Linked DNA regions of Neodiprion lecontei. Each later gene encodes a partner of the first gene's protein in a complex. Links are inferred from orthologs where the notes say so. Each region holds a gene or a part of one and is shown on either strand. Other genes may lie near its edges.

What was found. The genes of interacting proteins can lie anywhere in the genome.
Region 2: the proteins of NADH dehydrogenase [ubiquinone] 1 beta subcomplex subunit 10 (region 1) and NADH dehydrogenase [ubiquinone] 1 beta subcomplex subunit 11, mitochondrial are in contact, whole or in part, in a cryo-EM structure (PDB 8BA0), measured with the Drosophila melanogaster proteins. The link is inferred for Neodiprion lecontei from reciprocal best matches to the Drosophila melanogaster genes ND-PDSW and NP15.6. Residues at the interface, in NP_651972.1 of Drosophila melanogaster: Trp40, His42, Gln43, Phe45, Thr50, Ile51, Asp52, Ala65, Phe69, Arg70, Arg71, Met74, Val75, Glu78, Ile79, Ile82, Leu83, Arg86, Ala112, Asn115, Trp116, Ile118, Lys119, Ala129, Tyr133, Gln136, Lys137, His138, Arg139, Leu140; in NP_650774.1 of Drosophila melanogaster: Gln101, Phe102, Arg103, Trp105, Ala106, Gln107, Arg108, Glu109, Gly110, Phe111, Leu112, Glu113, Leu114, Val125, Ser126, Pro127, Asn128, Tyr129, Val130, Asp131, Pro132, Ser134, Ile135, Thr136, Leu137, Pro138, Leu143, Glu147, Ile148, Ile149.

Annotation. Positions count from the first base shown.
Region 1 is NC_060263.1:2,683,234-2,686,529, reverse strand, and holds NADH dehydrogenase [ubiquinone] 1 beta subcomplex subunit 10, read right to left. Parts: upstream 1,650-3,296; 5' UTR 1,544-1,649; coding exon 1,462-1,543; intron 1,344-1,461; coding exon 1,208-1,343; intron 1,119-1,207; coding exon 979-1,118; intron 825-978; coding exon 712-824; 3' UTR 622-711; downstream 1-621. Other genes in the region: 60S ribosomal protein L3, read left to right, coding at 1,797-1,799, 2,200-2,392, 2,493-2,661, 2,993-3,128.
Region 2 is NC_060263.1:6,113,281-6,116,331, forward strand, and holds NADH dehydrogenase [ubiquinone] 1 beta subcomplex subunit 11, mitochondrial, read left to right. Parts: upstream 1-1,751; 5' UTR 1,752-1,897; coding exon 1,898-2,323; 3' UTR 2,324-2,542; downstream 2,543-3,051. Other genes in the region: eEF1A lysine and N-terminal methyltransferase homolog, read right to left, coding at 1-245, 332-550, 617-833, 934-1,056, 1,183-1,274.

The DNA of each region.
Region 1 (3,296 bases):
CTTGATCCACCCCGAAAAATGCGATCTGGATTCCGCAGCGTCGAAGAACAGTCGAAGTACGTGCGCCGTTCTTTTGATGGTTTCTCCTTGAATTCAAATTTCACTCAGAGCTAATTTCAGATCGCATTCTCGATCACGTGAGTCACGTTTATCAAATTGCCGTCACCTGCAGTATAAGGCGCGGATGTTCTTCAGACTTTATTTTGTATACTGCATTATACCTAGAGTCCTTGGTTTTAAGCGTGCGCCTGATGTTGATAAAAAAAATTTGTTTTCATCAGAGATGTAGGAATGATGTAGGAACGTAGAGATACAATACTAGTTTTAAAAAAAAACTGCTGAATAATAGAGCCAGTGGTCGGTAGCGCAACGACCTCAGAAAAATTTGTAAATACATATAGGTATATTCTAGCTGCATACGGAAGAAAGCGCGGCAACCACATAGCTGAAGCAGAATTTACGAATGATGTTTGAACGGTTTATAGATAGAAGAGAAACACCTCTATGTGTATTACATACATTCAATAAATTTCTTCAAGATACATCTCACAGTTCGCTTGGAATTATTGGCGATAGATTGAGTTGATTAGCAATTACATTATTGTTTAAAAATCAGAAAAGTTTCATGATCATTTTTATTAATTTATTGTGTATAATTATCTACAATATCGATTTTTCGCGACTCTATAAAATGTATTTTCATTTTAGTTTTTATTCGCGATTCATTCCAGTTCCAACTGGACCATATCGTCTTTCCCAAATCATGCGATGTTTTTGTTTCATTAATGCGTCTCGTGTGTGACCGTATGCACCAAGGTCACCATCTGGAAAAATGATAATAATGTTTACTATGTGTACAGTATCGTGCAGTGGAGATATAGAATCCCTGAAAATCTGAAGAAACCATTCTTCGATATTAGATGTTCAGAGTACAGAAGATTCAACAAGTAAGATAAGTCGGCGCCATACTCAACATACACTTGATAAACCAATTCGTAGAAGCTTCGTTGTACTGATCCCACAGATGCCGACATTTGGCCGTTTGGTCATGTCCTTCATATAAAGTACAATCCTCGAAACGTTGTCTTAGAATATTTATGATATCGCTTTCAACCAGTCTGAAATATGAGAGAGAAACAAAGCCAAGTTTGACAATTGATAGGAAGAAGCTACCCAGAAAGAATGACCAGTAACTCGGTATAATTACTTGTCTCGTTTGAACTGAATGTTTGCTTCGTACGAGCAAACTGGATCATCCATATAACACTCATCAATGGTTGGAACACGGCGAAATTTTTGGTGGTACCAAGGATAATGTTGCTGATTTGGGACAACAATTTTTTCTAAAATTCGTAATCAAGGAATTATCATCGAGATATACATGCTTGAGAAGACACGGGCGGTCGTTCGGAACATCGGCTATTTTCGTATCATAACCTAAAAGAAGTGATTAGATAATACCTCGGAAAAAGGTGACAGGTCCGTCAAGAATATTGAATACCGCGTTAGCAAATGCGATGACAATGTTCCGTTCCTCTGCCATATTAGACAATTATTTAATTATTATTTACAACAAACAATGTTCTCAAAATAAGTGCGAGGCAGACGACAGAGAGATTTAGATCCGACTGCAGTGAATCGATGTCAAGTAATCGAGAGGTGTGTCTCTTCCATTTCGACTTGACGTTCGAATTCCAAAATCGAATATCGAGGCTTCTCCATAGTTGCCGTCATCACTGCGGTATAAAAGTGAAATCCGCAACGTACGATCCTCCATTTTCAACGCAGTCAGCGCGATGGTGAGTACGGTTGATGTCTGTCGGTGATAAAATAATCCGTTAAAATCTGTGGCATCCTGCATCGCCTGCGTCCAATTAACTCATCGAGTTACTGAGAACAGGTTTCTCTGTAATTGTAGTGCAATATTTTTTTCCTACCGTTAATCCAAAACGCCGTAAAAATTTTTCGGAAAATTCGAACCTCGTGTCGCGTCCCTTGGCTCGTCGAGAGTTTTTGGCGTTTTCGATGCAATGCTACTCCTATCAGTGATGATTTAGATTTCAATGTTTATGGTTTAAACTGATTAACCCTGATGATATTATTCTAGGGCGGTCTGAGAATTTTATCCCCTAACAAAACGCCCGTCACACGTGGCCATCTGCAACTTCTAATCTTGTATTTTTCATTCTTTGCCCACAGTCTCATAGAAAATTCAGCGCGCCCCGACACGGGTCTATGGGGTTCTACCCCAAGAAGAGGTCTCAACGGCATCGTGGAAAAGTAAAGGCCTTCCCCAAGGATGACCCTACCAAGCCCGTTCACCTTACTGCTTTTATAGGCTATAAGGCTGGCATGACCCATGTTGTCCGAGAAGCTGACCGTCCGGGATCAAGTGAGTCGATTACCCTATTTTCACCCTTCCCTAATCATGGAGCAAATTCATAGCCCTCACGCTCTAATCCTGCAACGACATGTTTATTTGCTTTTAACAGAGGTCAACAAGAAGGAAATTGTCGAGGCTGTGACTATTTTGGAAACTCCACCAATGATTGTTGTTGGTGTTGTTGGATACATCGAAACTCCTCATGGTCTTAGGGCTCTGACTACTGTTTGGGCAGAGCATCTCTCAGAAGAATGCCGTCGCCGCTTCTACAAGAATTGGTATGCGATTGATTGTAGACTGAACATTTTGAATTACCAGATCCTTAGATAGCTTGATATATCAAAGTAATGCAAAAAGAAAACATCAAGTCAACACTGTTCTTTTTACTAGTGCAGTATGTAGTTTTAGCTTCTGTGATTAGACGTGCATTATACTCTACTTGCTCTACCCCAGCTCTCCACTCGAAAGATGAGAGTAATATTCGGAATCAGCCGCCTGGCGTAATCCTCATTATGCATGGGGTTGTTCCGAGAAGGTGTCCAGTCTCCTCTCGCTATGATGAGACTGGCTCCGTACAATATGTTTAGGAACCTCGTTGCTGTTGTATAGGTATAAGAGCAAGAAGAAGGCGTTCACCAAGGCATCAAAGAAGTGGCAGGATGATCTTGGTCGCAAATCAATCGAGAAGGATCTTAAGAAGATTGTGAAGTACTGCAAGGTTGTGCGCATCATCGCCCACACTCAGGTAATTTTTCCCTTCACAGTATGGAACATTACTCCAATCTAAATATTTTTGGCCGACGTCATTGCTATTAATTCGTGCAGAAATGCGCTGGATTCTTAGCAAATGCGGTGCGGAGCTGCTTGATCTCGTGCAGTTTGGTTCTTACCGCGGCGTCGAATATTAACTCTG
Region 2 (3,051 bases), about 3.4 Mb from region 1:
ATGAAGGCAGCATATATTTCATTTTCCCTTGCATATGGCTGATCTAAAACGTATATTGTATATCTTAAATGCTTTTCTCCAGGTCTATATAAGTCCAAAGAAACCTCTCCAACATCCACAACATTTCCTTTATGAAGTCCCGAGCAAATAACTGCCATTTGTTGAGCAGACTTAATGGCTGAAATAATATCATCGGTAGTAGAAACGCGTTCTAAAGAACCTTCAACCAAGCCCACTTCAAGAACCTATTCAAATTACAAATTATAGTTAGCAGGAAAATATTTCCTTCGCGTGTAAAGTTTCTGTGTCACAAGAAAAACAAGAATCTTACCAGTGCTGGTAGCTTCTTAAATTTCGTAGCAATTACTACAAACACTGGCATTGCACTACCATCTTCTTCGCGGGTTTTTGCTTCAGCTTCGTAGCAGCGAGTTACTCTGAACATAAAATCAGCTTGAGGAAAATAGGAGAGTAACTTTCTAAGAATATGCTCTTGCAATAACGATACACAAACGTATCTTCCTCCAACTCTCAAAACTCTTGATATTTCCTGAAACACATGACCAAAGTTTCGACTGTGAAAAGCTTTTCTTTCCGTTTCACACTCCTTACTTACCCCAAACAGCTTATCTACTTGTGAAATAACATCCTCACTTTCATCGGGCATCAAAGCGTCCAAAGTCCCTTTATCTAATACGACACTGAATTTATCGTTAGGATAGCTCATTGCTGTGGCGTCCATTTGTTCAAATATCATGGCAGGTCTCTGCGTTTTATTCTGATCTATCATTTGCCTGATCACAACGTGCGATATATCGATGTTAGTGATATTCCTGAAACAATAAAACTTGCAATTAGGTACAGAGTTTTCAGCAAAGGGATGATACGCTACACTTCTTGCATTCTCTATTCAATTTATACCTAAATTCATACCTATAACCAACATCGTACAGATCCATGCTCAGTGTCGAGTTTCCACAGCCAACTACCAAAACGTCATCTTTTGGTTTTATATATTTGTGGAGATGCCCGCATAATTCTGGATACTCACCGTACCTGAAATTTATAAAATCACACAAACATAAATAAAATAAAAAAATTATTTAAATGGGCAACTGAGGATAGGTTAGGTTACGGCAGGTTAGCATTACTTCAACAAGAAAAAAATTGATCTCGTTTTACCATTCAAAGGCTTTCTTTCCACGCTTTGAAAAAAACGTATTCCAATAAGTTTGCTGACTGAATTCCTCGTGCGATTTAGGCAGTAGATCCATTTTATTTATCTTTTCAAATTTTGCGCGATCCACGCGCTGCGCTCACCCCTAACCTTTTCTTTTATTTTTGTCGAACACTTTAAACTTGGTTTCCATCAAAACCGTTTCAAAACTCAATATGCTTGTGCAGCCAGAATATCAGCGAGAGAAATCCATTAGCGGCGTCCACTGGATTCTGAAACGCGATTGGCTCATAGAAGCTGATGTCTATAGGTAACGACGATCAACGGAATTCGCCCAAATCAATGCCTGTCGTCTGCTGAAAAGCTTCTTCGTGGCGCGTGTTACACAATCGCTGTTCAACTGAGGTGTGTTCTTGCGCAGCTATCTCTAAGCCTAATCTCCAAAACCCGACCGTATGACGGCCATCTTGGGTTTTCAACCAATCGTATTCGAAATTGTTTAGAAGATGGCTTTTATTCGGCCGGCGCAGTACTGGAAGAAAACGTATCGACCGGAGGAAAACACCTTATATTCTTATTCTTACATCACAGTTACAACTTTATTTGTGGTACAGGTTCGGAGCTACGTCTGTCCGTTGGCTCGTGCCTTATAGTTTGCGTAACTAACCTCTACGATCGAGGTTTGCTGCTGGTCTCCAATAGTGATTAGTGAGAGCGAGGATGGCGGGTGTAGTTCGTCTGCAAGGGCTTCAGAGGCTGAGAAACGCGTTGACAGGTGTAACCTCAAGACGCAGCATAAATTCCTCGTCAAAAAAATGCGAAGCCAAGAGTCAGACGCAGTGTGCGGAACCCCCTAAGGAGAACTGGGTGAGCTACGGTTTCGATCGAAACAGCAAGACCATCGATCGAAATGTTATGAAGCAAACATTATTTGTCACCGTCACCCTTTGCCTCGTTATTGGAGGATTTGGCTGGTCCTACTTGCCAGATCCATTGCTCAAGGACTGGGCGCAACGAGAAGCATACCTTTTACTTCGCTATAGAGAAGAGAATGGACTTCCTCTGATTGATCGCAACTTTATTGATCCTGCCAAAATCAAACTTCCAAGCGATGAGGAACTGGGCGACACAGAGATCATCATTTAGAGAATAAGTCAATCATGTTAATTTTCTCCTTGGAACTGCATGTTGTTGCATACGATAGTTGATATTATTTAGTGTAAAGCGTTACCGCACACCTGGCGAACAGCAAACTGTAGATGTATATTAACTTACGATACTAAAAAACTTACACTCCGAGCAAACTGCTACTATACAGTCTTCATATTCACCAGCAGATAACAATAAAATTTTGTGTACTAGCGATCCGATGTTTCTTCTTTCATTCACTCTTCGTTAAAAATAATCCTTAGTCAATCTTATTCTCACAGTTTGTCTTCAGTTAAAACAGTGGAAAATAATTTTACATATTTACGATAAATTTTTTTAAATACCATTTAATATTTGTTATTATAGTTTTGTAAAACCTATGAAAAATATAATACACCTCCAAATTAATAGCAGCAGACGCACGTTGATGGAAAATAACATCTACAGCGCTACAGTACTGAGCTAATCTGAATTCTTGTCAAAATTAATTGTTGAAAACTTCTACCACTCGTTTTTTTTATCGTCATATAATCTATACAAAACGCTGGTCAGAAATAGTCTTAAGTCTGTGAAAGTACCGATTTTTGTCCTCCTTTTTTATCCAACCTAATGTCCCCATTTTGAAAATCCTTTGTTCAAATTAAAACTCGCATTTATGTGTGTATGTAAAAATGCATTTTAACGATCGAACAAGTTCATTCAAAATAATTCTAGGTAGCATAATC